Saccharomyces cerevisiae S288C: one gene and its partners. Changing the gene in region 2 together with the main gene of any one other region gives a genetic interaction. Each region holds a gene or a part of one and is shown on either strand. Other genes may lie near its edges.

Evidence for each region.
Region 1: mutations in RBL2 (region 2) and GIM3 together harm fitness more than expected from each alone (negative genetic interaction), as found in Saccharomyces cerevisiae (6 studies listed by BioGRID, with this or other methods).
Region 3: mutations in RBL2 (region 2) and GIM4 together harm fitness more than expected from each alone (negative genetic interaction), as found in Saccharomyces cerevisiae (5 studies listed by BioGRID, with this or other methods).

Annotation. Positions count from the first base shown.
Region 1 is NC_001146.8:345,169-347,763, forward strand, and holds GIM3 (tubulin-binding prefolding complex subunit GIM3), read right to left. Parts: upstream 891-2,595; coding exon 501-890; downstream 1-500. Other genes in the region: serine/threonine protein kinase YCK2, read right to left, coding at 1-108; INN1 (Inn1p), read left to right, coding at 1,145-2,374. UniProt on the Saccharomyces cerevisiae protein: Binds specifically to cytosolic chaperonin (c-CPN) and transfers target proteins to it. Binds to nascent polypeptide chain and promotes folding in an environment in which there are many competing pathways for nonnative proteins.
Region 2 is NC_001147.6:818,472-821,546, reverse strand, and holds RBL2 (Rbl2p), read right to left. Parts: upstream 1,094-3,075; coding exon 773-1,093; downstream 1-772. Other genes in the region: PNT1 (Pnt1p), read right to left, coding at 1-524; DSE3 (Dse3p), read right to left, coding at 1,389-2,681. UniProt on the Saccharomyces cerevisiae protein: Tubulin-folding protein; involved in the early step of the tubulin folding pathway.
Region 3 is NC_001137.3:146,558-149,099, forward strand, and holds GIM4 (tubulin-binding prefolding complex subunit GIM4), read left to right. Parts: upstream 1-1,618; coding exon 1,619-1,637; intron 1,638-1,725; coding exon 1,726-2,042; downstream 2,043-2,542. Other genes in the region: VAB2 (Vab2p), read right to left, coding at 1-198; YEA4 (Yea4p), read left to right, coding at 394-1,422; WBP1 (dolichyl-diphosphooligosaccharide-protein glycotransferase), read right to left, coding at 2,165-2,542. UniProt on the Saccharomyces cerevisiae protein: Binds specifically to cytosolic chaperonin (c-CPN) and transfers target proteins to it. Binds to nascent polypeptide chain and promotes folding in an environment in which there are many competing pathways for nonnative proteins.

The DNA of each region.
Region 1 (2,595 bases), on a different chromosome or scaffold from region 2:
ATTGACCAATCTAACATTGCTACGGTTAGGCATTTGTGAGTTCATTGTGTTATTATTGACAGCTAAACCAGAGTTCGTTGCTGTCAAAGGACTTTGCACTTGAGACATTTTTGGAAAACTATTTTCTTGGCTTATATGCTGTGTTCAGTAGAAACAACAAGTTTTGTCTATCAAAATGGAGAAAAAAACTTTCTAATATGATCTGCACAGAAACACGAAACACAACCACGTTCTTAAATCTCGAAAGAGAAAAACAATATCAAACGAAAGAAGTAATTTCCGTAAAGAAACTCTTTTTTTCTGTCTGAAAAAAAAGGTACTTAGGAATATATGCGGATTACAAAGGTATACAAAAAAAACTCTATCTCATACACAATAACTTAAACTTGCTTTTTATTATCATGTTCTTTACTTTTCTTTAATTTCCCTCCTGAAAAAATTAAAAATTTTTCATTACTCATTTTGTGGAGACACCCACAGCCCACACTTTAATGAGTGTTCTAACGTTCAAGGTTGATATTATCACCAAATTTAGCATACAGGATCGCCTTCAGAGCATCAAGACGGGAATCAATGTCTCTTTGCTTGTCCTCTAAAGTCTCTATTTTGTTGTCGAGACGTTCTGCGTCTTTTTCGAGCTGTGCGGTAACTTTGCTCTGTTTCATGAAGATAAAGAGGTCGCCCACCTTGTATTGCACGGGCTCATCTTCGTCAATCAATTCAATTTCTAGAGACACATCATCGAGGTACTCCTTCTCCTCCCTCTGTAAACTCAATTCCTGCGCAATGGCGTCCTTACGCATAATCAACTTCGAAAACTCGTTGATCTTTTGCTGATCTTCGAACGTTACCTGAGTGTTGTTCCTTTGTCCCTGTGGTAACAGTTCCATAATGGTCCTCTGTTAGTTTCTTGGCGTTGTGTATTCTGGTAGTTTCCGCAGGACCAAACAGAGCATAAGTCCTCTAAGTACTTAGCTTCCTGTAAAATTGTATGAAAAGCCGCCTCTGCTGATCATGAATGACGGCCTAGCGTTCCTCATATGATTTAGATAAAAACATAGAAAGGTATGTTAATAGTACGAGAGAATTCGGAGACCTTAGGTTTCACAACTGGAATTGGGTTAACTCGTTGAGTCACTGTCGAATGTCCGAAGAAGTATGGAATGGAAACCAAGGAATCCTCTCCGTATATGTGAGCAAAGCTAGAGACTTGCCTAATTTGAATAAACTGGACAAGCAAAATGTAATGCTTAGGTTGCGAATAGCTCATATGACAAGAGCCAGCAACACTCTACATCGAGCAGGTCAAAACCCTGTTTTCCATTATTTAGAAAAATTTGATATTACTCCAGAGATAAAGCCTTTAATGTACGTCGAAGTTTACTGCGATAGAAGGAAAAAATCTCCGCTGCCAATTGGAAGATGTGAAATAGACCTTTTAAATGCTATTAGAGCAGACCCGAAGGAGGGTTATTGTACCTGGTACGAACTGAAAAGAAGTGGGGATGAATTTGCTGGCACTATATTCATTGAGTTGACTTTCACTCCCAAAGTACCTCGTTTAAACAGGGACGATCTTAACAAAGAAATGGACAGGTTGGATTCATCTATGGCTATGAGGCCGATACCACCATTGCCAACAGAATCAGAGTATGACTATGTTCATGGTTCTACGATGAGACAGATTACTCCCCAGTGTGTTAGCACAAGTCACGAGGATAAGGATGAGGGACAGCCCTACAGAAATGGCAATGTTTTCTCCATGTCATCTAAATCAGATACAGCGGTATTGGCAAATAGTAATGACCCAATAATTTTACCTCCAACTTTTTCAGCATCCATGGGTACAACGTCTACATTAGAAACTAATGATACTGCTATATCAAACACTTCGAATACAAAATTCCATTTTGCCAATTTAAGGAAATTAAAGGAGAAGATAAATATATTTAAGAATCCTGATAGTTCAACAAACAACTGCCAAAATGAATCTAACAAGGTAGATATTGAGGCACTTCAAAAGGCTATTGGTGTAACTTCGTTGTCTTACGACGAAGATGATGACGATGACGACGAAAATGACGCATTTTATTCTTCCAGCCATAGAGTCTCCCACAACTATAACCAACCGCCCTTACCTCCTATACCGACCAGAGATGATATGTCCAATTATTCAAGTTCGCGCAATACGCCGTTAGTAAGAAGAGATAGACCCTCACGCCTAGATTCCTCTTCGCCTAACTCACATCCTCATCCATCAGGCCTGAATTCTCCAAAACTACCACCTCTACCGACTACTTCGAATTCCAATTTTAATTCGAGGAAGAATTCGATGTCTCCTACAAGAAAAAGACCACCTCCAAGGCTCAGCTAATGACAAGAGAAACATGCTGTTATTGTAATACTAATATTTAAATAGAATTAAGATTTTTAATGTTTACCAAGATTTTTTCTTTTTTAAATTTTATTATTTCAATATGTATACATAAATCTGTTGCGCCCTCACCGCCGATCTAAACCATAAAGAAAAATGCTAATTGTACAAATTCTGCTTTGAAGAATATCCAAAAATATGGTAAAGCGGTATAAATTTTC
Region 2 (3,075 bases):
GGGGCTTTTGCTGAAGAACTTGTAGGCAATGATGAAGACGATAGTCTTGTATTGATTTCATGCATTTCTATTTCCCGTACTAAGTTAGCCAATGCACCGTTTTTTATGCTGAATTTCTGCTCTTCGTTTCGAGTATCCCAGAATACTTTTAACGTGTTCTGAATTCCTGTTTTATAGCTTTTTAAAAGATACAATCCAATTCTAAACCAACCTGTCATGAATTTCCTCCATTTGCCAACCTTAGTATCCAATTTTACCTGTTCCAAGATCTCCTGCTTGGGGAACTTAGTCATTGGTAGGGATCGATTAGAGTTTAGAGTAGCGGCCAGAGGCTCTGGAGAATCGGATGGTGTTGTCTTCGCATTCCAATCGACATCCTGTACTATCTGTAGTGAACCTAATTTGTAACGGCTATTCAACGCTTTAAATAGTGGTGCCTTCACTAAACCGTGCAATTGAATAGAATCGCTTTTTATCACCGATGGTGCTATGTATTTTCGTACCAGTGCAACTCGAGAATCCATATCGATGGCATTAAAGGTGTTAACTCAATTAAATAGATTAATAAAGTTCTTTTTAAATATAGAGTAAAATGTTCTTATATCTCGTCACTGTATCAACAGCCGTCTTCCACTTTTCTACTTTTGCATATAATATTCCGTGCATTTTCTAGCGAGATTTATTATTCATCCGCAACAGGTTTGTACATAATAAAGTATAAAAACCTGCATCAAAATAAATGCGAAAAGGTAAGAAAAAGGTTATCTATAGATTATTTAGAATCGAGTAATTCCTGTGCAGACGTAATAGCGGATCTTGCATCACTGACATCTTCGGTACCCTGGTAAGTTTTTAGAAATTGTTCTAAATCCTCTTTAAATTCTCTAATCTTCTCATATAAAGTAGGTAATAATCTTTTTGTGTCATCAAGGACCTCCTCCTGTTTCTTCAAGTCATATGGGTCAACTGACTTGTCTTCTTTAAGTTTTGCCACATGTGCTTCCTGATCTTTCAGTTCTTGTTGGTAGTACCCTTCCTCCTTAGTCAGCCTCTTCAAGGCCTTGACTTTTATATCCAATTGTGTGGGTGCCATTGATAGTGAAATGTAGTTTTCTTGAGTTCAACCTGTTGTGCTTTATGCTCAAAAATGCCCTTATAAGACGCACTGTATCTAACTGCTCTGTTTATATGTAGCCATAGTAGTTCTTCATTATGATCCTTTGCGGGTAATACTACAAAAGGTGCGACATAAGCGGCCATTTATCGTTGAAATTGTGACACTTTTCTATTGATGACCACCTCTGGTGCAAATACACAATGTGTCACCGCTCATGCCATTATTCTACTTATATACGTATGATTTTACTTGAAACCTAGAATAAATTTTTTTATTCGCTGTAAATGCTACTGCTGCAACTTGCTATTTCAATGCAGTCAATTTTTTTTTGAAGAATATTCAAAGCCCTATCCTCGTCATCGTTGTCATCTCCATCATCACTGTCATCGTCAAAAGTCATGACATGCATTATTTTAGGCGGATCGAGAATTACTTTTTTTAATTTTCTTATAGAGAGTTTATTCAAAAGCGTATTGCACGATGATGTTTGTGCAACTTTTGGAAGCTTGTTATGTATATCCAGATCTTCCACTGATACTGTTGAGGGCAAAGTCTCCGCAGCAGTGCAATAGCCTTCCTCACTAGTGCTTTCAGACACAATGGATGATCTCATTGTCCTCTTATTCGTGTTCCATACTATACTTTCTACTTCGGACAATTCCTCATCTGAATTCGATTGGTCAGAGTATGTACTGCATCCAGACGTGGTGTATTCTGGGCTAGAAATGACATCGTTTAATGTGTTAGAATTGACAGGTTTCAACTTTGGTGTTGTTGACGAAAACAAAGTCTCTGTGTCGTCAGGGCAGACGACATATGGTACCTGAAATGCCTCATTTTTTTTAGCTATTTGTTTTGAAGCGCATATATCGATAATTCTGTCAATTTCTGAATTTAGGGCAGTAGAATCGCTTGTAGAAACGTTTTCATAGGCTGATAGAATTTCGTCAAACAATATTTCACTACCGCTTTTGCCATACTTATTTTTTCTACAGCAATCTTGTGTCTGTGTTTGCATTAGGGAGACCGGATTAATAGGAGTAAGGGCTTTTACAGGCATTACAATTGGGGCCGGGCGAGAGACAAACACTTTATCAATAATATGATCCGAATGTGTCTTATGCCCTAAAGATTGTACTACTGCAGGCTTTGACAGCGTCGGCCTACGTAAACTTTTTCTTTGAATTGGTAGTGATTTTACCTTCTTTCTTTCTCGTAATGGTAGAATCGTGCTTTGAGGACAAACTGGTCCCTTGGGAACTTGCATGTCAGTAAATTTTTTCTCTCTAATCACCTCAAGTTGGGAGCGTGGCCTCTTCTTGAAATCATGTAAGAACAATTCTGGAACAGACTCTAACCGTTTCTTCAGTTTCAGTGTACCCCCAAATCTTTTAGACAACCTGTTACCACCGTTGCTGGTACGTAAAACCTTATCATCTTCATCTTCAAAATCTTGTGGTATCGGTGGAATATACTTCAAGTCATCAGCTGTTAATGTTAGCGAAGATGGTCTGACTGCATCAACATTCTTTTCAATTTTATTGCCCAAAAACTTTCTTGGCATTACTAAGTTATTCTGTAGGATTTTTTTGCTATCCTGCCCTCACAATTATAAATGGTTCATTCATTTAATAAATCCTTTTGAATATGAAAACTTCATCAATATAGAGTAGCAAACCATTTTTACAACATTTTATATCACGATCTGCGCAAAAACCTTAGAATCCCCGCACAGCTGCCCAATGACAGATATAGGCAACGTTGTTGGTGCTAATCATTTTTAACTTGTTCTTTTTCCTCCTAGAAACCCATTGACAGTTTGCTGGTTATTTTTTTCTTCTTCCGCTTTTGCTGTCGCCGCGAATGAGTGAAGGCTGGTCAACCTGGTTAATTAGTAGCGCTGGCTTTCAGGGTACGAAAGCAATCATGTTCAGACATAGGGTTCTGTCCTTTGCAGC
Region 3 (2,542 bases), on a different chromosome or scaffold from region 2:
ATAGATGGACAGAATGTCTTTTTTTACTTGTAATAACTCATACTTCGTGCTATTGAAGATAGCAGCCTGTGTTAATTTTTTATGGGATGCAAGGGGAGGTAAGCCCTTTAACTCTTCGTAATAGGAACTGCTTCCAACGGCATCAAATTCTATTCTTGATTTCCATTTCAGTATACCTTTAGTTAAGTCTGCTACCATGCTAGGCACTCTCTGCCTTTCTTATGGTTTGGTTACGCATACTCTTCCTTTATATATTCATTGTCATATTTTAAGGAAGCAATCGCTCCCGACGCAAAGTAAAAATATTCAGTGCTTTGCACTCCAGTTAGAAAAAATGAAGAGAATTCAATTGAGAATAAGCAGGGAAGTAATTGGATTGGGAGAATCTAAAAAATGTGGAACTCACTAAAAGCATTCGCTCTAGTGTTCGGAGGTTGTTGCTCCAATGTTATTACATTTGAAACCTTAATGAGCAACGAAACAGGCAGCATTAATAATCTCATTACTTTTTGTCAATTTTTATTTGTTACATGTCAGGGACTCCCCGAATTTCTGGATGTTCATCAACCTTTCCCTTACTTCAAGCCTCTGAAAACTCCACTTCACGTTTATGTCATTACTGTCGTTTTATTTTATATTTCATCTACGACGAATAATAACGTATTTAAATACAACATATCCATTCCGATTCATATCGTTTTCAGATGCTTCGGAACCGTAATAACCATGTTTACATGCTGGTTATTAAATGGTAGGAAATATACAAAGATTCAGATTTTATCAACACTATTTTTAACCATTGGAGCTATAATTGCCTCATTATTCAAAGATGCTGATTTTCGGTACCAAGATTTGAAACTGCAAGCGTGGAAAATTGGAAGTGACCAATCTGTAGATCTCACTTTTATTTTTGGCATTTGTATACTAGTACTTTCATCATTCACATCATCTTTACTTTCAGCATACAATGAACGTACGTATCAAAAATATGGAAAGCATTGGAAGGAGAATATCTTTTACAGTCATTTTTTATCATTACCTCTCTTTCTATTTAGTCGAAAGCAGTTAATTCACGAATATCGAGTGATGAGAAAGTCTGAAAGAATATTGTGTTCAAATTTTGGAGGGAAGATTCTAGTCCCGCGAGAAGAAACTCTCCTTCTTTTCAATGTGTTAACACAATATTTTTGCGTCAAGGGTGTTAATATCCTCGCCAGTAAAACAAACGCTCTGACACTTTCCATAACATTACTTGTAAGAAAATTTATAAGTCTTTTACTGAGCGTCCGACTTTTCGATAATAACTTGTCATATACTGGCTACATCGGGGTCTACCTAGTCTTTTTTGGTGCCTTTATATACTCGCTGGGATCAATTCACCCCAGGCAAAATGACAAGGGGGCGATAAAGAAAAGTAAATGAACACACATTATAAACTAACCTTAAATCCTACTTGTATGTTCCTTAACTCTATATTAGTGGTGTTGACGTAAGTTTAGATAAAATCGCGAACGCTGCCGCCTGGAAGTAAATGAAAAAAAAAAAAAAAAGAATTCATCACCTAAACTCACTAATCTTTAAAACTCATTCATGAGAAGTGGAGAACTATATTACAGCTATGGAACAAAGGAACAACGGTATGCAAAATTTCGATCTCTGGGTTTTAATAAATGCATGTAGCCAATTTTATCTTACTAACAATCTTTGTGTTTTCTCTGTGTATAGTCTTTCAAGCAAAATATAATGAATACAAACAAATTTTGGAAGAATTGCAAACAAAAATCATAGAATTAGGTCATGACAAAGATGAACACACTATAGTCATAAAAACACTGAAAGACGCTGAGCCGACGAGAAAATGTTACAGGATGATAGGTGGCGCACTTGTTGAAAGTGATGTTCAAACGAGTTTGCCTATTCTTGAAACTAAGAAGGAAAACATAGAAGGTACAATAAGTAAAATGAAAGAAACCTTAATACAAACTGCAAAAGAGTTTGAAAAATGGAAAAAAGACAATAAGATTCAAGTCGTTAAAAACTAAACCATATATAAAATCTATTGCAGTACTTAGTTTGGCAAAAAATATAAATAAACACAATCAGGTACTCTTATGTATTTATGTGAGCCATTTATAAAGAATTATAAAGGATATGAAAACATATATTAGTTTGTTTTTTTGAATGTTTCAAGTTTCTTGCCAACAGAGGAAGTCGTAACGAAAGAAACAACAAAAAATATCCACGCAACAATGACGCCACAAATGGCGCTAATATAAACCCAAGAATTGCTGATTTCCCAACTTCTTGGGTATTCATCATTAGCAAGGTGACGGATAGCTTTAACGTCTTTGTCAGTAGTGAACGACAGGCCAATCTTACGATAGTCAGTGAGGAATGTAAACACTCCATGGCGGTCTGGAAGGATGAATTCACCGGTGGTGTAATACTGAGTTTCAGAATCGTTTCCGCTTGGCGACAATGTTAGACGGTAGTACGGATCCACTTGTCTTAGTTCAAATTGGATATCATCAGCGATATGTGG